4 linked regions of the Macaca mulatta genome follow. The protein of the gene in region 3 interacts with the protein of the main gene of each other region in a biochemical or structural test. Links are inferred from orthologs where the notes say so. Each region holds a gene or a part of one and is shown on either strand. Other genes may lie near its edges.

Evidence for each region.
Region 1: the proteins of USP8 (region 3) and STAM2 form a complex in vitro, tested with the Homo sapiens proteins (3 studies listed by BioGRID, with this or other methods). The link is inferred for Macaca mulatta from reciprocal best matches to the Homo sapiens genes USP8 and STAM2.
Region 2: the proteins of USP8 (region 3) and YWHAE form a complex in vitro, tested with the Homo sapiens proteins (2 studies listed by BioGRID). The link is inferred for Macaca mulatta from reciprocal best matches to the Homo sapiens genes USP8 and YWHAE.
Region 4: the proteins of USP8 (region 3) and STAM form a complex in vitro, tested with the Homo sapiens proteins (2 studies listed by BioGRID). The link is inferred for Macaca mulatta from reciprocal best matches to the Homo sapiens genes USP8 and STAM.

Annotation. Positions count from the first base shown.
Region 1 is NC_133417.1:57,055,771-57,061,615, forward strand, and holds part of STAM2 (signal transducing adapter molecule 2), read right to left. Parts: intron 2,928-5,845; exon of another isoform or gene 2,876-2,927; intron 2,410-2,875; coding exon 2,256-2,409; intron 1-2,255.
Region 2 is NC_133421.1:2,894,080-2,899,924, forward strand, and holds part of YWHAE (14-3-3 protein epsilon), read right to left. Parts: intron 3,193-5,845; coding exon 3,056-3,192; intron 1-3,055. UniProt on the Homo sapiens protein: Adapter protein implicated in the regulation of a large spectrum of both general and specialized signaling pathways. Binds to a large number of partners, usually by recognition of a phosphoserine or phosphothreonine motif.
Region 3 is NC_133412.1:27,749,324-27,755,637, reverse strand, and holds the start of USP8 (ubiquitin carboxyl-terminal hydrolase 8), read right to left. Parts: upstream 4,368-6,314; 5' UTR 4,319-4,367; exon of another isoform or gene 4,185-4,318; intron 1-4,184. UniProt on the Homo sapiens protein: Hydrolase that can remove conjugated ubiquitin from proteins and therefore plays an important regulatory role at the level of protein turnover by preventing degradation. Converts both 'Lys-48' an 'Lys-63'-linked ubiquitin chains.
Region 4 is NC_133414.1:19,266,933-19,272,777, forward strand, and holds part of STAM (signal transducing adapter molecule 1), read left to right. Parts: intron 1-1,915; coding exon 1,916-2,006; intron 2,007-3,773; coding exon 3,774-3,966; intron 3,967-5,539; coding exon 5,540-5,634; intron 5,635-5,845. UniProt on the Homo sapiens protein: Involved in intracellular signal transduction mediated by cytokines and growth factors. Upon IL-2 and GM-CSL stimulation, it plays a role in signaling leading to DNA synthesis and MYC induction. May also play a role in T-cell development.

The sequences.
Region 1 (5,845 bases), on a different chromosome or scaffold from region 3:
CCACCATCACTTAAAGTCACTATAAGAATGATAACCTTCTTTACCCTCATCCCAGGATGACTCATCCAACTCCTTCCTAAGAATGAAACTTAAAAGAACAAGCTGAAAAAGAAACGGTATAAGGATGCCAGGGCTTCCCTGGCAATGTCTACTTTATCTCTTACCTTTCAGACAAACAGGACAAAAGTAAGGAAGAGTTATTGGTAAAAGACATGTATCCTCAGGAAAGAGCAAAAATGGTTTAGGTCTCTTTGGACATTTATATGCGCCCTACTTATTTTCAGGACAACAGCTCCTTAAGGACAGGGTCTACCACCTGTCTACTATATATAGCATCAAAACAATGCACACATTTAATATCATATCATACCATAATGATCATCAATCCAGTTTTAAATTAAGCTATTTTTTTAAAGCAAAGACCATTTATCTGAAAATTTAGAATGCTAGAAATCCCAAATAAGCTATATTAAGTACAATCACATTACCTCCTTAGTAGACATGTAACAATCTACTGACAATAGGCTGAGACTGTGAGAATCAGCTTCTTCTGCAGTTTAGGGTTCCTGAGCAGCCTACACAGATACAACTAACTTGTTATCCCAATTGCTTCTAGTAGAGATGTATTTTTGTCAAATTAGAATAGAAACTTTTGAATATTTCAAATGCTTGAGTGAATAGTGTAGATACAGATTATGTGAGGAATCAAACAGAAAGTTAACTTTTCAGAGAAATGAGTTGTGCTTGGCAAAATGCAGTAAGCAGAATGCAAGTAAACACCGAAACCTGACACAGAATAGCAAATAACCCTTTACAGACACATAAAAAAGCCAACATAGGCCAGGCGCGGTGGCTCAAGCCTGTAATCCCAGCACTTTGGGAGGCCGAGACGGGTGGATCACGAGGTCAGGAGATCGAGACCATCCTGGCTAACACAGTGAAACCCTGTCTCTACTAAAAAATACAAAAAAAAAAAAAAAAAAAAAACTAGCCGGGCGAGGTGGCGGGCGCCTGTAGTCCCAGCTACTTGGGAGGCTGAGGCAGGAGAATGGCGTGAACCCAGGAGGCGGAGCTTGCAGTGAGCTGAGATCCGGCCACCACACTCCAGCCTGGGTGACAGAGCGAGACTCCGTCTCAAAAAAAAAAAAAAAAAAAAAAAAGCCAACATAGTTTTATCATACAACGATGCAGACACTGCTTTTTGTCCCACTTTCACAGCAGCAGCAAACAACTCTGAAAACAGAAGCAAACTGAGTAACTCCCAAATGTCTTTTGCAGCCAGAAATCTTTCTTACCCTCCTAATTTTCAAAAAGATCAAGGCATGGCACATTTGATAAATGTATCTTGTCTGACGTGACAGTTACCATAGTGACTATTCTTTTTTTACTTAACAATTACGTTGTGTCATCTAAATTATTCACCCACATTCTACCCTTTCTCCTTGGTGTCTCCTTCACATGTACCTTTAGATACCAGTGTTCATAAATTAACATGCATTTTGCTCATCCAAGCTCATTCTGAATTCAATTGGCTAACTGGCTGAAATTTCAAAATGCTTCTGAATGGGGATACTGACAAATATAAAGTATTCACTTCATATGGCAAGCACACAAAAAAGGTGAAAAGTACTGGAAAAAGATGGCTTACGGATGTTCATGGATGGCTTATGGAGTCTGTACCTCCTAGATGTGTATCATATCTTTGCTATGCACAAATTTTTAACAATTTAAGTCATGCAGCTAAGTAAAGGAAGTATAAAGCATACTCTAGAAGTTCATTGTGCCTGTTAATAATCATGTGAGTCAAATAAATCTTTATGGAAATTTGTAAAGAAATGTTAAATCTTGTTGAGCAGCAGCAAAGTCTTGGTACCTGGGGAACTTCTGATATGCTAGGTACCATCCAAAATCAAAGGATTTATACTCCACATTTACAAAAAGGATTTATACTTACATAAAAGATTTATGCTTTATACTTACAAAAGCATATGAAGAACCAGAACTACCCTCACATACTTAATGGTCTTTTCATCCATGTTAAAACTGAACTATAATGTATTTGTGAAATGTCAGTATCTGTCTAAGTTGTTCTGGTGAATGTTAATTGTTCAGTCAATATTTACTGAAACAATCAAAGATAAATTTTATAATTTTATTTACATACAAAAGAAATCTTAATACTATGCTGTAAAACACTTTCTTTTACTTTAAAACTTGTTTATAATTTAGAAAATGTTCTCAAAAAACATGCTCACCTGCATTGGAACCCCGGATGATGCAGGTGGGTAATGTGCTGGAGGGTGGAGCTTTGAATAGACTGAGTACACTGGTGCTTCATTCACCAATTTGTTATATAGTTCCAGAGCTTCCAGGACTTTTACATTCAATTCAGACAACTCTGAATGCTTCCTGATGTAGAAGAAAAGTATTATAATACTCTTCTAGTTTTTAGCATCTGTTTAGTGATATGAATTATTTTTTAAATTTAGCACAATTTCTATTCATATATCAAAAGGCTATTTTATATTTAATGAAAGAATATTCACAAAGGGAAACTGAGAGGAAGAACTGCTTAATCCTTGTAATAGCTAGCCTGATACTAAGGCAGGAAAATAGGGTCTGGAGGCAGGGAATCTAAGGCTGTTTTTCAAGCTGACTTCTTGTAACTACACTGAAAGGAAAACCAACCCTAACTTTCCACACCTAAGTAATAAAAGGACCAGAGGCTGCTCCCTTTGCAAACTCCCCACGTTTTCTGTGCAGCAGATGGGAAATTGGGTGTCCGAAAAAAATCAGACTGATTACAAGTCCAGTCTTCCTTTGCAACTTTGTAACTTCAGCCTCCGAATGGTTGCTGTCCACAACCAGCCTCTGAATGGCTGCTCCAGCCTCTGAATGGTTGCTGTCCACAACCAGTCAGACTGACTGTGGGCGGAGTCTTCCTTTGCATACAAGCATAACTGTAACTTCTCCCTAGCCTTTAATTGGTTGCTTTTTGCAACCAATCAGATGGTTGCACAGCACTGTGACCTTTGTAACTTCATTTCAGCCTCTGGTTGGCTGCTTTCTGCAACCAGACTGATCGTGAGCTTCCACTTCATTTACATGAGGTGAGCATGAAGCGGCCAATGGGAAACTTCTAGGGGGTACTGTACTTGGACCCAAGAAGGTTCTGTATCCGGGTCCTTCAGGTGCTGCTCAGGCCCACTTCCACACTGTGGGGCGTACTTTCGTTTTCAATAAATCTCTGCTTTTGTTCTTCTGTTGCTTCGATCTTTCTTTCCTTTGCTGGGCATTTTGTCCAATTCTTTCTTCAAAATGCCAAGAACCTGGACAACCTGCAGTCACAATCCTCTACCAGTGACAAAATGACTTTATAATATTAGGGAAAAGTCCTTTCCATGCCTCATAAAATGCAATCAATTCACAATTTTGGTGCTGAGAGAATTTACTTTCACACATTCCAGTTTTATTTTGAGAATTCAATTATTAAAAAGAAAATTCTCAATTTGGGTAAGAATCTAGGCCTGAATTATAAATCTCAATAAAAGAAAGTACCCAGGCAAGGCCCAGAACCTCTATGAAGTACACGATATGATGGAAATTTAAAAACACTTGTTAAAAAAAAAAAAAACCACACACACATTTTCATTTGTTTATATCCATAAAAATATCAACTGAAAAAAAAAACCTACTTAAATAATTACCCTTGAAAATCCAAGTAAAAACAATGTGTAAGACTAGTCTCTACAGCTCGTTTGTTGGTTGATTTTGAGAAAGTAAGTAAACCAATACTTTATTATGTAGTAACAAAAAATCCAAATAAAAGCATCTTCAAATATGACCAAGAAGCTTCAGAGCAGACTCTTCCTACTTGAAACAATTTTGTCTGTTCCCCTGGGAGTAATAAAGAACTCTCTTTGCACTGTCAAATTTATAATAGTTAAGCAACCACTTTTCATCTGGCCTGAAACATCCACAAGCCTTTTTATTGAAATGTGGTTCTTTCTATATAAACACAGAGAGGCAACAAGCAGAGGCACACAGACACAGGACTACCAAGTAAACAGCCACTGAGTCCTATCAAGATTTGTCACTTTTCTTCTATTAGTCTTTTACGTCTGAACAACAACAACAAGAAGTTTGTTCCCTCTCTGGTAGGAATGACTGCATTAAGCAGGTCAAACTCTATTATCAAAAATAAGAGTTACGAGCCACCCAGAAAGCTACAGAAATTAGTGCCATGCTAACAAATGCATAACTAAAATTTAACTGTAGGAAATCCACAAAACCCAGTATGTTGATGAAACAACAGAAAAATGCAGTAGAAAGACGTGATCACTGTGTTTGAAATCCCCTGAAAGATATGAGACACAATCCCAGAGTAATAAGGCAAAAGAGCAACTTGATAGATGGTAGAAAATGATCTTTGGAGGACAGGAGGAAATAAGATTAGAATAGTCTGGAACATAGTTAAGGCCAGACTATGAATCTCTCTTCAATAAATCTACCTAAACTTTTTTGGAGTCAATTTACATGTTTACTCAATATAATTTCTTAGGGTGATAAAATGCTACAAAATTTCATTCTGTAAAATGACAGAAATGAAATGTACAATTTAACTTTCTAACAGTAGAGTTGTTTTTCTCAGCAGGAATAACAAACGCAATGATCCATTCAAGGGAAAAATTGGTATTTTATTCATCTCTGAATACTTGACAAGGGTAAATAACAGTCAATAAGAATTTGTTGAAGAACAGGAAACATTTCCCAGAACAGGAGCTGCATCTGCAGCTGTGGCCATGGAACAAGAAAAAATGCCAGTTGGCCTATTCAAAAACTGAAACTGGTAAGAAAACTGGTTAATGATTGAGTTCTCACTCAAAAAATTAACTACCATCAGAATGGTCACTTTGATTTTTTTTTTCTTTTGAGACAGGATCTCATTGTGTCACCTAGACTGGAGTGCAGTGGTGCAACTGTGGCTCACTGCAGCCTCCTTGACCTCCCAGGCTCAAGCAATCTTCCCACCTCAGCCTCCTGAGGAGCTGGGACCACAGGTGCATACCACCAAGCCCAGCTAATTGTTAAAAAAATTTTTTTTAAGAGATGGGGTCTCACTGTATTGCCCAAGCTGGTCTCAAATTCCTGGGCTCTGATGATCCTCCCACTTCAGCCTCCTGAAGTGCTGGGATTATAGGTGTGAGCCCCCACACCGGCCTCACTCTGACTTCTAATTCTTCTAGATCTTTTCCTTTAACAAAATTATTTTTATGAACCAAAAATAAGATTAAATTGTCATAGCTTCTGCCTTTTTTCATTATATATTATAATATCTGTTCATATCAAGGGATAATTATCAAGGACAATGATATTCATTGTAGAATGTGTGGACACACACTCAGTCCTCCATGTCCATGGGTTCTGCATCCGTGCACTCAACTTCAAATTGAAAATACAAAACATTAAAAAAAATTGTGTCTGAACTAAACATACAGCCACATCTGTAATACTTTTTAATCTTTTCCAGTTTGATTATTCACTAACCATTAACATCCTGCATTGAAACAAAGTAGATGTGTAAGGAGATATTTAATGCTTTCTCTAAAATATGGCAAAACTACTGTCAATTGACACACAGATTTTTCATTTCTTTAGAAAACACAACACATTTATTTTTAAAATGTCCCCTGGAACAAAGATGACAATCTCTGGTGACTAGGAAAAGTCCTGCTGCTACTGCACTTCTCTGGTAGAGGCAGAAAAGAAGTAGTTTCTGTTCTCCTTATTTTGGCCCTATCTAATCTCTTTTTCTTGTGCTGTTTATATATTAATTCAATAAATA
Region 2 (5,845 bases), on a different chromosome or scaffold from region 3:
TGTTTAGTAGAGACGGGGTTTCTCCATGTTGGTCAGGCTGATCTCGAACTCCCGACTTCAGGTGATCCGTCCACTTCGGCCTCCCAAAGTGCTGGGATTACAGGCATGAGCTACTGTGCCTGGCAATGTTTTTATTTAAAAAAAAAATAATAATGAAAATGGCCAGGCACGGTGGCTCACAGGGAGACTCCGCATCACAAAACAAACCAAAACAAACCAAAAAATGAGCCGGGCGCGCTGGCTCACACCTGTAATCCCAGCGCTTTGGGAGGCCGAGATGGGTAGATCACGAGGTCAGGAGTTTGAGACCAGCCTGGCCAACATAACATAGTAAAACCCTGTCTCTATTAAAAATACAAAAAATTAGCTAGGCGTGGTGGCGGACACCTGCAGTCCCAGCTACTAGGGAGGATGAGGCAGAAGAATCACTTGAACCTGGGAGGCAGAGGATGCAGTGAGCTGAGATAGCACCACTGCACTCTGGCCTAGGCAACAAAAGCAAAATTCCGTCTCAAAAATAAATAAATAAATAAAAATAAACAAATAAATAATAAAATACACATACACACACACATATTCAAGTCAAGTCACCTTTATTACTTTTTATTACTTTTACTCTCAAACACCCATCCCCAGGGGTGAGAGGGTATCATTTCCTCAAGTCAATCCCGCTTCCCAAACTCTCCACGTGCTTTCCCTCCATCAACAGGCAGAGAGATGCTAGTATCTGAGCTGGGGATGACTGTTAGGAGTCCACAGCTGTTTGGCCATTCTTCTTCATAGTTGTTAAAACAATTTTTTTCCCTTAAGAGATGGCACCTCATTCAGTCATCCAAGTTAGAATGCAGTGGCGCAATCAAGGCTCACTGCAGCCTCAAGATCCCCCAACCTCACTGGAGTTTTTTTTTTTTTTTTTTTTGAGATAAAGTCTTGCTCTATGAAGCCTCGCTCTGTCTCCCAGGCCAGAGTGCAGTGGCGTGATCTCAGCTCACCGCAACCTCCACCTCCTGTGTTCAAGCAATGCTCCTGCCTCAGCCTCCCAAGTAGCTGGGGTTACAGGCACATAGCACTGCGCCCGGCCTTTTTTTTCTTTTCATTTTTTTAAAGACAGGGTCTTACTATGTTGCCCAGGCTGGTCTTGAACTCCTAGGCTCAGGCATCATCCCACCTTGGCCTCCCAAGTCCTGGGATTACAGACATGAGCCACCGCAACCAGAGTGGGATAGATTTCAAGCTGGAAGCCACTTGTTCAGAGTTGGTAAATTGTTTCTGAGTTCCAAGGACTGGGAGTAGCAGCCTGAAATGCTGCGCTGGGAAGTGGTCCGTGGCTCCATCTGGCACTATTGCAAGCGTGTAAGTAAGTCCTATGTATATGAGTATCTCATGCCAATCCCGATTTAGTCAAATCCTAAACATTTCCTAGAGCTAGGAAGCATTAAAAGCTGAGTCTCACTTTAGTACCATAACCCAAAAGTCACAAATCTGATTTGATCCTTTCAGAGAAAAGACACATACGTGCCCACTTTCAGAAGCGTTTTCAAAAAGTGTAACACTTCCAAAGACAATACAGCAGGTCGATTTCCCCAACAGACACTACAGATAGCCTCAAGCAACGCGACATATGTTTCAGTCTAAGAAACTTTTTTTTTTTTTTTTTTTTTTTTTTTTTTTTTTTTTTGAGATGGAGTCTCCCCTCTGTCACCCAGGCTGGAGTGCAATGGCACGATCTCAGTTAATTGCAACCTCCGCCTCCTGGGTTTAAGCAATTCTCCAGCCTCAGCCTCCTGAGTAGCTGGGACTGACTACAGGCGCCCGCCAACACACCTGTTCTATTTTTAGTAGAGACAGGGGTTTCACTGTGTTGGCCAGGATGATCTCGATCTCCTGACCTCGTGATCCGCCGGTCTCGGCCTCCCAAAGTGCTGGGATTCCAGGCCTGAGCCTCCGCGCCCAGCCCAGCTTAAGAAACATGCTTAAAGGAATCGCAGCTAAAACTGACAACAGACTTTGTTTCCAACCTCCTACCAGCACCAGCACCACCAAATGTAAAACTATCTTGTAATGTAATGCTCATATCACACTAATTTGTCTTCTTCTCCACCCCTGTTCAACAATCTACCATGGATAATAATGATTCTCTAGAGAGAGAGAATTAAATTTCCTTTAAAATCAACAAACGTTAACAAATTTGGGCTTCTGTATTTAAAGTAAACATTCACACACACTCACCATCACAATTAAGTTTAGTAAAATACTCTAGCTAAATTGTTTGCAATGAAAACCTCTTAAAAGTAACAACAGCCGGGCACAGTGGCTCACGCCTGTAATCCCAGCACTTTGAGAGGCTGAAGCGGGCGGAACACCTGTGGTCAGGAGTTCAAGACCAGCCTGACCAACATGACGAAATCCCGTCTCTACTAAAAATACAAAAATTAGGTGGACATGATACCGGGTGCCTGTAACCCCAGTTACTCCGGAAGGCTGAGGCAGGAGAATCGCTTGAACCTGGGAGGCAGAGCTTGCAGTGAGCCGAGATTATGCTACTGCACTCCAGCCGGGGTGTTGCAGCGAGACTCCATCTCAAAAAAAAAAAAAAAGAAAAGAAAAGAAAAAAAAAAAGACCCAAGGGCCAACATACAATTTCTCTGCTGAACCCCAGAGGTAAATGGGAAATTAGTTCCCTTTTAGATAAAAAATTTCAACAAAGAGAAAAACTTCATAAATACCTATTGATACCATCTGGATTTAAATACAGTTAACTTCAGCCCCCTAAAATTGAATCTGGACGAAGATAAAATAAACTACTTGCTTTCCACTTTTCCTTTCCTCAACCTTTGAAACAGTGTAAAGGAAGACTTAAACTAAGTTCCCCAAAATGGAACTCGGTACTTTAGCACCATTTCCTATAAAGGCAATAATTAAAATTTCATAGAGAGCAGGCAGTGAGTCTAAATTGTAGCTTGATGTAAAGATATGCCAAGGAATGTCTACAGAGAGTAAAAACAAATCCTGCAACTGAAAGAGGTGCCTCTTTTACTTCCTAGTGTTTGCTTACCGTCACCCTGCATGTCTGAAGTCCATAGTGTCAGATTATCACGTAACAACTGCATGATAAGTGTAGAGTCCTTATAGCTTTCTTCACTCAGCGTATCCAGTTCTGCAATTGCATCATCGAAAGCTGCTTTTGCCAACCTAAAGGTATTTAAATAAATGTATTATAAAAATTAAATCCAAAATCAGAATTAGAAAAGACATGCTAGACATCAATCTCTTCTTCAGTTATTCCAGTGTGTAATAGTGACAATGATACAAAGAAAAAGCAAATACAATAAAAATTAACTTAAAGGTATGTGGAGCACTACTATTTTTTCTTTTTTTGAGATGGAGTCTTGCTCTGTCGCCCAGGCTGGAGTGCAGTGGCGCGATCTGCAGAGGCGCGGCCTCCCAAAGTGCTGGGATTACAGGAGTGAGCCGCCGTGCCCGGCCAAGTTTTTTTTTTTTTTTTTTGAGACGGAGTCTCGCGCTGTCACCCAGGCTGGAGTGCAGTGGCCGGATCTCAGCTCACTGCAAGCTCCGCCTCCCGGGTTCACGCCATTCTCCTGCCTCAGACTCCCGAGTAGCTGGGACTACAGGCACCCGCCGCCTCGCCCGGCTAGTTTTTTGTATTTTTTAGTAGAGACGGGGTTTCACTGTGTTAGCCAGGATGGTCTCGATCTCCTGACCTCGTGATCCGCCGGTCTCGGCCTCCCAAAGTGCTGGGATTACAGGCTTGAGCCACCGCGCCCGGCCCCAAGTTTTTTTTTTAAGAGATTCGTTATGTTGCCCAGGCTGGACCTGAACTCCTGCGTTCAAGCAATCTTCCCACCTTAGCCTCTTGAGTGGCTGGGACCAATGGTACAAACCACCCCCCCCCCGAGATATTTAACAAAGTATTAATGCAAAAAGAAAATCTTGGACAATACCTCAAAGTTTAATAAAATTTAATTTCACATTAATGGAGGCAGGGAAGCAAAGAAAATAAAAGGCAACACAGAAGCCACGGAAATGTGGTCATGTAAGCCTTTTACAGTTTTTTTTTTTTTTTTTTTTTTTTTTTTTTTTGAGACGGAGTCTCGCTCTGTCGCCCAGGCTGGAGTGCAGTGGCGCGATCTCGGCTCACTGCAAGCTCCGCCTCCTGGGTTTACGCCATTCTCCTGCCTCAGCCTCCTGAGTAGCTGGGACTACAGGCGCCCGCCACCGTGCCCGGCTAATTTTTTGTATTTTTAGTAGAGACGGGGTTTCACCGTGGTCTCGATCTCCTGACCTTGTGATCCGCCCGCCTCGGCCTCCCAAAGTGCTGGGATTACAGGCGTGAGCCACCGCGCCCGGCCTGCCTTTTACAGTTTTAAAAGAAAATCCACACCTACTGAATACTGTGTACTATGCCCAAGAAATGATACCAGATACCAATAGAAAAAAAAAAAGAGAGACATAATCTAAGTCCACAATCACCTTAAAACTTTAGAAATGGAGGATGGACAAATGTGTAACTATTTTAAAAGAAGGAGGAGGCTGGGTGTGGTGGCTCACGCCTGTAATCAGCACACTTTGGGTGGCCAATGCGCGCGGGCAGATCACTTGAGGCCAGGAGTTCAAGACCAGCCGGGCCACCATGGCAAAACCTATTAAAAACACAAAAAATTAGCCAAGTATGGTGGTGTATGTCTACAGTCCCAGCTACTCAGGAGGCTGAGGCAGGAGAATTGCTTGAACCCGGGAGGCGGAGGTTGCAGTGAGCTGAAATTGTGCCACTGCACTCCAGCCTGGACAAAAAGAACCAAAAAAAAAAAAAAAAAAGAAGACGACGAAGACTCAAGTGCTACTCTAAATGAAGTATCTCAGGGACCCAGGAGGAGCAATTAATGGGAAGGTCAAATTTGAGCTAACCTTAATGGATCAGGAGAAAGCAAAAAGAACACACTTCAAGTTTAAGCAAAAGCATGAGCAAAGGCATGGAAGTGACTTAAAACTGGAGCTACACGTGGGACAGCTAGACTGGAGTCTGACAAGGAAAGGTGCAACCACCAGTATCAGTTAAATAGCCAAAGCTTCTTCAGTTATGACCCCTATCCTGGACAAACTCAACTAGCCATTTAGAATATTTTTAGATTGGCTGAGTGCAGTGGCTCACGCCTGTAATCCCAGCACTCTGGGAGGCTGAGGTGGGTGGATCACCTGAGGTCAGGGGTTCGAGACCAGCTTGACCAATATGGTGAAATCCCGTCTCTACTAAAAATGCAAAAAAAAAAAAATCAGTCGAGCACAGTGAAGCATGCCTGTAATAGTCAACGTTAAAGTTCTAATGTATCAGTTAATCTACTTTCCTCAATCTCTGAAAGGCTTTCACTTAAAAAATCTACTTGGCTTAAGCAGTGGTCCTCGACAAACCAAAAAAAAAAAACACACAAAAAGCAGAAGAGGCCGGGCATGGTGGCTCACGTCTGTAATCCCAGCACTTTGGGAGGTCAAGGCAGGCAGATCACGAGATCAGGAGATCAAGACCATCCAGGCTAACACGGTGAAACCCCATCTCTACTGAAAATATTAAAAAATTAGCCAGGCTTGGTGGCAGGTGCCTGTAGTTCCAGCCACTCGGGAGGCTGAGGCAGGAGAATGGCGTGAACCCAGGAGGCGGAGCTTGCAGTGAGCCGAGATCGCGCCACTGCACTCCAGCCTGGACAACAGAGCAAGACTTCATTGAAAAAAAAAAGCAAAAAACAACCATTTTGCTACTGCAATATTTACTGTAAAAATTTAAAAGAGGCCGGGTGCAGTGGCTCACGCCTGTAATCTCAGTACTTGGGGA
Region 3 (6,314 bases):
AAAACTAAATTGTAGGCTGGGCGCAGTGGCTAATACCTGTAATCCTAGCACTTTGGGAGGCCGAGGTAGGCGGATTGCCTGAGCTCAGGAGTTCACGAACAGCCTGGGCAACACAGTGAAACCCTATCTCTATTAAAACAAAAAAAATTAGCCAGACATGGCGGCGTGTGCCTATGGTCCCAGCTACTTGGGAGGCTGAGGCAGGAGAACTGCTTGAACCCGTGAGACGGAGGGTGCAGTCAGACAAGATTGAGCCACTGCATGCAGCCTGGGCGACAGAGCAAGACTCCGTCTCAAAAACAAACAAACAAACAAAAAACGAAATTGTAATGTGTTAGTCAAAAGAGACAAGGCTTAGTTAAGCCATATTCACTATACATGAGAACTGTTTTACTTGAATTAGTATGGTATTAGTCAGGTGTGGTGACGTGTGCCTGCAGTCCTAGCTACTTGGGAGGCTGAGGCAGGAGGATCACTTGAGCCCAGGAAGCAGAGGTTACAGTGAGCCAAGATCATGCCATTGCACTTCAGCCTGGGTGACAGAGCAAGACCTTGTCTCAATTTAAAAAAAAAAACAAAGGGCTACATGCGATGGCTCACGGCTATAATCCCAGAACTTTGGGAGGCTGATCACCTGAGGTGGGCAGATCACCTGAGGTCAGGAATTCAAGACCAGCCTGGCCAACATGGCAAAACCCTATCTCTACTAAAATACAAAAATTAGCCGGGCGTGGTGGTGGGTGCCTATGGTCCCAGCTACTTGGGATGCTGAAGCAGAATTGCTTGAACCCACGAGGCGGACACTGCAGTGAGCCGAGAACACATCACTGCACTCCAGCTTGGGAGACAGAGCAAGACTCCGTCTCCAAAAAAAAAAAAAAAAAAAAAAAAAAAAAAAAAAAAAAATTAGTATGGCTATAAATGTAGAATTCTAAATAACTTTAATATAATATGTCATCATTCAGTACTAGTAAATTCTATATTATGGAACTGTTGCAGGCCTTACTTTCCATTTATTAATCATATGACTTTCAACAAATTCCATAAATCACTCCCAACATGACCACCACTGCTCTTCAGTTTACTTTCATCTGCAAAATGAAACAGGAATGATTTGTCTGCTTCTATAGGGTGACCATAGGTATCAAGTGAAAAAATATACAAAAACATGTTTTGAAAACTGTAACATGCCGGCCGGGCGCGGTGGCTCAAGCCTGTAATCCCAGCACTTTGGGAGGCCGAGGTGGGTGGATCACGAGGTCAGGAGATCGAGACCATCCTGGCTAACATGATGAAACCCCGTCTCTACTAAAAATACAAAAAACTAGCCGGGCGTGGTGGTGGGCACCTGTAGTCCCAGCTACTTGGAGGCTGAGGCGGGAGAATGGCATGAACCCGGGAGGTGGAGCTTGCAGTGAGCCGATATCGTGCCACTGCACTCCAGCCTGGGCGACAGAGCGAGACTCCGTCTCAAAAAAAAAAAAAAAAAAAAAAAGAGAACTGTAACATGCCATTAAAACATAATGCATTATGGTTAAAGAAATTGGAAATGGGTTGGGCGCAGTGGCTCACGCCTGTAGTCCCAGCACTTTGGGAGGCTGAGGCGGGTGGATCACAAGGTCAAGAGATCGAGACCATCCTGGCCAACATGGTGAAACTCCATCTCTACTAAATACAAAAATTAGCTGGGCGTGGCGACATGCTACTTGGGAGGCTGAGGCAAGAGAATGGCATAAACCCAGGAGGCAGAGGTTGCAAAAAGCCGAGATCGTACCGCTGCACTCCAGCCTGGCGACAGAGCAAGACTCCATCTCAAAAAAAAAAAAAAAAAGAAAAGAAATTGGAAATTGGAAGCATACCTTATTATTCATCTGCTATATAAATGCAAACAAGAGTCCAATACAACTTTGTCATCAAAATTACAGTAGACAAAGCATGGCCACAAATTCTTTGACATTTTTCCCTTCAAAAGTGAGGGTTGGATACTGGTCTGACTGCTCTAACCAACAGAGTATGTTGGAAATAATGTTGTGCCTATTTCTGGGTTCAGGCTTTTTGGGAGACACGCAGCTTCTATTTCCTGTCTCCTCAAACATGTATTCTTGGAACCTAACCACCATACTGTTCACGTCAGAAGTTCAAGTCACGTGAAGAGGCTATGTGTGGGCATTCCAGTTGACATTTCCAGCTGAACTCCTAGCCAACATCAACTGCCTTCACATGAATTAGCCATTTTGGATGTCCAGACCAGCTGAGCTCTCGGATGACTCCAAACTCAGCTGCTTATCTGAATACAAACGCATTAAAGTCTAGGTGAGAACCACTTAGCTAAGTACAGGCAGGCCAGAGAAACAGGAGAGATATAAATTATAGTTTTAAGCCACTGTGTTTTGGAGTCATTTGTTACGCAGCAATAGGTAACTGGGACAACAACAAGGTATTTTTTAAATGTTTCCTTAATTATTTCTAATTTTATTAGCAACACATCCTTGAAGACTTTTTTTCCTTTCACTTCCGTAAATATGAGCGCATTTTCATGTAGAAAAGTTCATAATAAAGTATAATGCTAGACTTATGAAAAAAATTTAATGTACTGGTTTTATTTTCCAACTGTCTTACTCAAAAGTCATTTTGATTATTTTCCATTATGTCCACGCTTTTTATTTTAATTTTTTGAGATGCAGTTTTGCTCTTGTCACCCAGGCTGGAGTGCAATGGTGCAATCTCAGCTCACTGCAACCTCTGCCTCCCCGGTTCAAGCGATTCTCCTGCCTCAGCCCCTGGAGTAGCTGGGATTACAGGCGTGTGCCACCATGCCCAGCTAATTTTGTTTTTTAGTAGAGACCAGGTTTCGCCATGTTGGCCAGGCTGGTCTCGAACTCCTGACCTCAGGTGATCCACTCTCCTCGGCCTCGGAAAGTGCTGGCATTACAGACGTGAGCCACTGCGCCCAGCCACGTCCACATTAATAAACAAATGCCCATAATGATTAATAAAGTCCAAGTAAATATATTAAAAAATGAAATGCTAAAAAAGTCACCTTTAAAACATTTTTGTTAGTTTTTCTTATACATTGTTTTCTAAAAAAAATACATGCCTATGTGCAAAATTTCATTAATGACAGGTGTGTATATATATATATTTTTACTACTACAGGGTCTTCACTATCTAATATTAAAGATGCATCCAATGTGTCACAAGAAAAGGAATACCTATTTCAAGGCAGCCATATCAACATGATAAAGACATAACACAACCGATATCACCTTCCAGATATGCTTAATGGTCCAGGGATATGTTGTAAGGAGAAACTACCCAAATCTATCATGAATGACATTCACCAACGAATCTTAAACAGAATCGGCTGAAATGCAAAATCTGCTTACATGGCAAAGCCGCAGCAGAGCAAGCCTAAAACAGGAACACTTCCTTAACAAATAACCACTTGGCATTTTTAATGGCTGCAGCAAGATATTTACAAAACTAAGGATGCTTCGCAGATTCAGAAAAGGTAATATCCTTTAGATACAAATCCCTTTCATCTGAAACCCTCAGGTCTCTTAAATTCTAAATTCCTTAGGCTCTGCAACACCTCCGTGTCAGGTAAATATTTTGTTAGTGATTAAGTGACTTGTTCAAGGTCACAGAATGAACTGGAGGCAAGAAATAAACCCAGGAGGGTGGTCTGCAGCTTTCTATATAAATGCACATCGCTGCAAGTAAGGATTCCGATAATTTCCAAGGTGGAGTGGCGGCGAAATGAACTTGTCCCACAACTCTAGGTTGGAAGGCACTTTTTAGGGGGGCGGGGAAAAGCTTCTATTTGAGGCAGTCATAGTTTTAACTCTGATAAGCTTATAGGGTCTTTAAACTCCTACTTCACTAAAATGAAGTGTGACTAGGGAAGAGGAGAAACTGGGAAACAGTTTTAGGAGCTGTAGTAAGGCCTGGGATTGTAGGCAGATTGCAGAGAGTAAAATAAAAAAAATAAAAAAAAAACAAAAACAAAAAACCGGAAGCAAGAGGAAAGAGGTCAAAGTCGGGTATAAGTGTCCAAGAGAACGGAAGAATGGTCAAAGCCACCTTTTAAAACCGAAAAACCGCACGAAACTCGCTTGGCAATCCTAGATGGGTGGCGTAAAAGACTCAAGGTTGGGCCCTTCCTCTCCACAAGCCGGTTCTACCTTTCGGAGTTGTCCCACTCCTCTCCGCGGACAGGGCTTGTCTCCCGGGTGACCAGCAGCTGGTGGAAGGAGAGGGGGTTCACAGCGGACGACTTCCCAGAGGACAGGTGCCAGGGCCCAAGACCCGCACTCACCGTGACGCCCGGCGCGCTTCACTAACGCCAGCCTTCTCGCCAAACGCCCATCTCCCAAGAACTCGAGGGAGAATTAGCCTTGGCTATCAGGACGGAAGCCAGCCCAGCTCATCCCCTTTTCCCGATTTGCATTGCGAGGCGACGCGTCGCGTCTCCAGACGTCACGGTAGGGGCTGGGCTTCGCGTGCGCTCCTTGACTTCTCTCTTCCACCGCCCTCCCCCTTTCGGTGAGGGCCGAGCGGCGGGGCGAGGGAGGGTCGAGGGAGGGTCGAGGAGGACGTTATGGGTGGGCGGCGGCGGCAAGGGCGGGATTTCTCTGAGCCGGATCAACACAGTCGGCCGGTTCTGTACCCCCCGCACTGCACCCTGCATTTCCGGGTTGCAACCGGGCGGTAGCCAAGCGGCCCAGGTTCGCTTCGCATCCTGGGCCTTGTGGAAGAAGCGAGGTTGCTCTTGCATCCCTTTACTACGTTATTTTCCTCCTCAGATTGGAAATTAGAAAAAACTTAAAAGGGGATTTAACGCCCCTCTATTTCTGTCTTAACATTCTCTGAAGCCAAGCCTTTCTTTGGTCAAAGAAAAACAGGTATTATCCTAAAACATATTTTATGTACAATTTTTAACGTCATTTAAAAGGCCCCGTCGAGGCCGGGCACGGTGGCTCACGCCTGTAATCCCAGCACTTCGGGAGGCCGAGGCGGGCAAATCATGAGGTTAGGAGTTCGAGACCAGCCTGGCCAATATGGTGAACCCCCCCCACCCCCCATCTCTATTAAGAATACAAAAAAATTAGCTTGGCGTGGTGGCGCGCGCCTGTAATTCCAGCTACTCCAGTGGCTGAGGCAGGAGAACTGCTTAAACCCGGGGAGGGGAGGTTGCAGTGAGCCGAGATCGCGCTGCTGCACTCCAGCCTGGGCAGCAGAGCAAGACTCCGTCTGGTTGGGGGAAGGCCGGTCTAACAGAAACGAAATGAGAGGTCTGAACTTTCTCGCGAGCTGATCTTTGTACTCTCTTAGAGAAAGGTGATTGGATGCTCCGGTTATCTGTAAACATAAAATTGATTTGGGTGGAGCTTTAGGCAGTAGTCACTAAGGCCTCAGGAACACTCCGGGTGTCTTAGGGATGGGAAATCTGGCAGCAAGATCTAGTAGACGTAGGCCGGGCGCAGTGGCTCAAGCCTGTAATCCCAGCACTTTGGGAGGCCGAGACGGGCGGATCACGAGGTCAGGAGATCGAGACCATCCTGGCTAACACAATGAAACCCCGTCTCCACTAAAAATACAAAAAAATTAGCCAAAAAATTAGCCGGGCGTGGTGGCGGCGCCTGTAGTCCCAGCTACTCGGGAGGCTGAGGCAGGAGAATGGCGGGAACCCGGGAGGCGGAGCTTGCAGTGAGCCGAGATCGCGCCACTGCACTCCAGCCTGGGCGACAGAGCGAGACTTCGCCTCAAAAAAAAAAAAAAAAAAAAAAAAAAAAGATCTAGTAGACGCTTTTAAGTGAAAGTGTGTGCCACATTGTACAGTGTAAACTGCTCGGGTGATGGGTGCACCAAAATCTCAGAAATGACCACTAAAAAACTTTTCCATGCAACCTGTTACCCCAAAACTACTGAAATGAATTTTTTTTTTAAAGGATAAAATAAAGTGTGTTCAATGAATTTGTAATGAAGGCCAGTTTCAGTGGCCCAGGCCTGTAATCCCAGCACTTTGGGAGGCTGAGGCAGGAGGATCCCTTGATCCCAAGAGACAGAGACCAGCTTGAGCAACAAAGGGAGACCCCCATCTCTACAAAAAAAAATTTTAAAATTAGGCTGAGTGCAGTGGCTCATGCCTGTAATCCCAGCACTTTGGGAGGCCGAGGTGGGCAGATCACTTGAGGTCAGGAGTTTGAGACCAGCTTGGCCAAAATGGTGAAACCTCGTCTCTACTAAAAATACAAACATTAGCTGGGCGTGGTGGCACGCACCTGTAATCCCAGCTACTCAGGAGGCTGAGG
Region 4 (5,845 bases), on a different chromosome or scaffold from region 3:
ATTTTTACATTATTTTCTTCTGTACTCAGATGAAAAAAATATACTTAGAAAAACATCTTAGCCGGGCGTGGTGGCGGGCGCTTGTAGTCCCATCTATTTGGGAGGCTGAGGCAGGAGAATGGCGTGAACCCGGGAGGCGGAGCTTGCAGTGAGCTGAGATTGTACCACTGCACTTCAGCCTGGGCGACAGAGCAGGACTCTGTCTCATAAATAAATAAATAAATGCCTGTGTGTTTGTTTGACAATACGAAATCCAGTAAGTGAGGAGTGTAGAACTGTATTTTACTATAATGTCGAATATTTCTCCTTTCATACCCTCAACAAACATTTATTGATTGCTTGTAATATTTAGGCACATTCCCTCAGGGAACATACAGTCTGGTTGTGGAGACAGACATGTAATCAGACAATTATAACAGAAGCTGAGATTATTGCCTGTTACGATGTTCCAGTCACTGTTCTAAGTGCTATACATGTGGCAATTTGAATGTTTTTTAGAATTCCATTTTTAAATTGTTTGCCCTGAGAATGACAATATACATTTATAACTTTTCATGATCTACTTTGAGTTAATATTTGATGTAAAATATAGAAACTCTGCATCCGTAGAGGTCCATTTATGCTGTAGTTGTCATGTGTATTACCTCTACATACATTATAAGCCCTGGAGGTAATGTTACATACTTTTTGTTTTAAACCCTGAATGAGCCCATCTCATCTAATGTTGGAATCACATGTGTTAATTTAATATTCTAAATAGGCTGTGAAGTGCCCATGAGGTGTAGGTGCTATTATTGTACTCATTTTATTGATGAGGAATTTGAGGCACCAAGGCTAATTTGCCCAGTGTCATCCAGCTAGAAAGTGGTAGATCTGGGATTTGAACTCATGTCTGCCTGACTCCATAACTTACATTCTTAACCACTCATATCACAGTACCTTGTTTAAAGGTGTTATCATAAGAACAAACAAGAGAATGTGTAATTAACAGGTTTAGGGATGCCTCATTGAGAGTGATATTTTAGCTGATTACTGACTGATGTGTTCAAACTCAAAAGGGAAAAAGTGAATGCAGCAAAAGGAGCCATAGTGGGTGAACGTTGTAAGGAGAAGCAAATGAGTGTCAGACTTGTAAAGTACTGGTATATAGACTGCTCAGGAACTGCTGGCAGTTTCTGGTAACTGGTAGAATGATTGGAAATGAGGTTGGTAAGACAGGCGAAATTCTGATTTGCCTTGAATGCTTTGCAAAAACTGAGAGGCCATGGAGCCCACAGGCTTAGAAACTTATAATTCTAGAAGTGTGAATTGATTTATATGTTTGTTTGTTGTACATTCTCTTATTTACACAATTTAATAGAGGCAGTGATATACTGTCAGAATTAGCTACTTGTAATTTGGTTTACAAAATAGGATTTTTGAGTATTTATATCGTTATATATATTTATATGTATATGAGTTCCTGAAGGTAACATCCTGACACTTGATCCAAAAGGATATGATAAATATAACTATTAATAGATATTAAAGAATTTTTAACTATTTATGTTTAAAGTAATTATCTCTTTCTGTCTCCCAGCCCCTTTTCTGGTTTTGGAGTTTTTTTAAACACATTGAAATCTTCTGTAGTCTGTCTTCTCTGATTTGTGTACCATATGCTTTTAGTTGAACCTCTTGACACAAACCTGGGAGGGTATGCCTAGGCTGCCTCCTGTAAGTGTCCGGTTGCTCTCTGTGTCCTCCAATTCGGATTCTTTTCCCTCTCCCTTTAAGGTGGAAGCTGCTGCAGTTTGGATTTCTTTTTTCAGAAATCTGTGCTAGATTGATGAGAAAGGTTTTACAAATTCTTAGGGGTAGGTAAGAGGAGGAGAATTTGATAACAACCGTCAAATACTGTGTTCCTCTTTTTTGTCAGGCTGCAGAACAAGCAAAAGCAAGCCCAGCTCTTGCAGCCAAGGATCCTGGTACTGTGGCTAATAAAAAAGAAGAAGAAGATTTAGCAAAAGGTACGTTTTTAAGTCCCTGATGGTGGGAAGAAGATAAGCCTCTGTTTTTTCTCTGAGATATTTAAAAGATAAAATAAATAGAACTTTATAGCAAAAGCTGAAATCTACTTTGTTGCCCTCCTCAGTATTCTTTCCTTTCCTCTTGAGAGGCAATTACTGTTACATGTGTCCTTTCAGTCTATGTTTTTATGACAGATTTTTACTATACTGTGTATCCAAAAACAGTATCAAGTACTTTTTTGTGTCTAACAAGTTTGTTTTTCATAGGTAGTACACTTGAAGTGCCATTTGCCACTTGCTTTTCTCATGCAACATTATGTTTAAGATCTATTCATGTGACATATCCATTAACGCTTCTGTAATATTCCAGTGTACTAATGAGTGTACCACATTTTTCTATCTTTCTACTGATGGATGTGTGGATTCTTTCTGATTATTACTATTATTATTTTTACTAAAATTAAGCTGCAGTGAGTATTCTTGTACATATTCTCTGTGCACATGTATGTGACTGTCTCTGTTATGTGTGACTAAAAGCAGTATTGTTGGATCATGGCATTGGTACATCTTCGGTTTTGCTAAATGGTTCTATGATTTCCTTTTCCATTAGCAGTGTATGAAAGCTATGATTAATCTCTGACAACACTTAGTAATCTTAAGGGTTTAACTTTTGTGAATCTGGTAGGTTTAAAATGATGTCCTGTTATTTTAATTTTAATTTTTTTGATTGCTAGTGAGACTGAGTTCTTTTTTGTATATTCACTGCTCATGATGATTTTCTTTTGGGTAAATTGTCTTTTGTTAAATAAAATAATGATATGTAGAAGTCTTTATTTGAAATATTAATTTGTTATCTAATTATTGTAGATATCTACTCCTGGTTTTTGACCTTAACTTTGATAATGGTGTATTTTATCAAGTAGAAATTTTAAGTTTTGAGAAGGCCAGAGCTGTTTGCTCTTTTGTTATGATTTTTACTTTTTAGTGGCTTTTAAAAAATACTGTTCTCTACCTCAGGGTCCTAAAATATAGTTTTCTATATTGACTTTTAGTAGCTTTAAAGTTTTGTTTTCATATTGGTTCTTTTATTAATCTAAAACAAGAGTGGAGGAGCAGAAAGGGCTCTGGGTTGAGTTGGAAGCAGGATAATCAATGCACTGAGATTACATTTCAGAGCCTGAATGACATATGGTGATGGTCTGCACTGGGGGAGTAGTGGTGGAGATAGAGGAGACACATTTGAGATCTATTTTGGTGGATTTGTTACATTGAGTCTTTAGACTGCTAAGAATTACCCTTGGAGCAATAAAATCCTGATTCTCCAAGATTAAGGCTTTGATTTAGTAAGTCTGCAGTGAAGCTTGATACTCTTGACTTTCCAGGCAATTTTGATGATTATTTTGAAAACTTAAGCTATAGGAATACATTTAAAAGGTCAAGGAAAATGCAAAATACCTGCAGCTGAAAAAGAAAAGGAGATCTAAGAGTTTGTATTTTTTATTACCCAGAATAATTTACATTGTATTTGTTCAGTAAAAATAGGAATTACCACGCTGTTCCAATTTTGTTAATTTATTTTTAAACTTTCAGTTGTGAATGAATGAATAAAACTGACAACATGATTTTTGTTCAATATATCAGGATATGTTCTAGTTTCTAACTATGCTGTTGAAGGAAGAATACCTTTTACCTTGATGTCTTTTTCTACTTCTTCAGATTGTTGGATATAATAACATTTTGGATTTTTAAAAACTCATTGTTTTCTAGCCATTGAGTTGTCTCTCAAGGAACAAAGGCAGCAGTCAACCACCCTTTCCACTTTGTATCCAAGCACATCCAACCTCTTAACTAACCACCAACATGAAGGCCGAAAAGTTCGTGCTATATATGACTTTGAAGCTGCTGAAGATAATGAACTTACTTTTAAAGCTGGAGAAATTATTACAGTTCTTGATGACAGGTAATGTTAATATTACATTTAAAATTTGTATGAAAGTATGTATGGCTTCGGTGTTTCATATTATTCCTGTTGATCGCAGTTACCAAATATAATAATAAATATTGACCCAGATGCTTCTCTGTATGGCAGACAGTTGGCTGATTTGCTTGTGTTATACTCAGTGGATTCTTATTTTGTTTAATTTTTTTCTTATTTATTTCTTAGTTTTTAATTTGTTTTGGAGGCGTAGTTTAATCTATTCATTTTTGGTTCTACCTAATAATATAGATTGTTACATTATTTAAAAAGGTACAGTTCTGGAAAAACACTGAGTATGTATATGTACTTAATGGAATTTGTAAGAAACATATAATCTATTGAGTTTTTATACACAGAACAGTATGTCCATATGAAACAACTTTATTTTATATGGAATTATACGTTTATTCAGGAGGTGATACGGTGCATCAGTTTTTTTACTCTAGCTTTGTGATGTTTTACTTGAAAATGAATTGTTACTGATGCTTGTTACTGATAATGCAGTATTGAAATTTACAGGTGTTTTTAAAAAATCAGCTCAAATTGATTTAAAGTTCTTCCTGTAGTATCTCTCTTACTACCTTAGTCCATTTGGGCTGCCATAACAAACTACCATGGACTAACTGGTTTAAAAACAACAGGAATTTATTCCTCACAGTTCTGGAGTATAAGTCCATGGTCAAGGACCCGACAGATTGACTGTATGTGGAATGCCCACTTTCTGGTTTGTAGAAGGCTGTCATTTTGCTGTGTCCTCCCGTGGCAGCAGGAGCAATGAGCTTTCTGGGGTCTCTTTTATAAGGTTGCTAATCCCGTTCATGACCTAATCATTTTCCAAAGGCCCCCCCTTGTGATACCATTGCTTTGGGGGTTAGGATTTCAACCTGTGAATTTTGGGAAGACACAAACATTCAGACATATTTTAACATTTTTTTTTTTTATTTGTTTGTTTGATTTTTTGAGTGGAAGAAAATGAAGTAAAATTTGAGCTGGTTGGCTGGAAATTGCACAAAACCTTGCATCTGTTCTTTCAAAAACATTTATTAAGTGCTTGCTAGCTTTCCATATACTAGAGTTTACCTAGGAGTGTACTCTTTGTGAATGTTTTACACTGTGAACAGCGTCATCTTTCATATTTGTTCTGTTGGGAGATAAAAAGAAAAACCTTGCTAATGTGTACTGGAAAGAGCAATGATTTAGGAATGGAGACTGAAAGTGAGAGCCTGTCTTTATATCTCATTACAAAGACTTCTTACTCTGGAGCCTGTGAACCACCTGAAGCTGACAATTTTTTCATATGGGTACCTCTTTTTTGGGAGAGAGTCCATAACTGCAAAGCATGCATCCACAGTCAAAAGGATAAACAACCCTGTGTTTAATAGCTTCTTACCTTTTCTGAGGCTTCTTCTTTTGTAATAAAGGAAGATTCATTGGCCTTTTCAGTGGGTTATTGTGAGATTCAAATTTTGTAATAGTGTAAGTTAAATACTACAAAAGATAAAGATTTATAGAAATAAAAATGTTGTGGTAAAGCATTGTTTTCTGTTTGTCATAGTGATCCTAACTGGTGGAAAGGTGAAACCCATCAAGGCATAGGGTTATTTCCATCTAATTTTGTGACAGCAGATCTCACTGCTGAACCAGAAATGAGTAAGTATTTTCCAGCCTGCCAATAAATAATGTTTTCTAATCCTTTTCTTAATGGAAGTTGAGTAAACTGAACTTTTTAGAGCAGCGTTGCCCAGGCTGGAGTGCAATGGTGCGATCTCGGATCATTGCAACCTCCGCCTCCCAGGTTCAGATGAGTCTCCTGCTTCAGCCTCCCGAGTAGCTGGGATTACAGGTGCCAGCCGCCACTTCC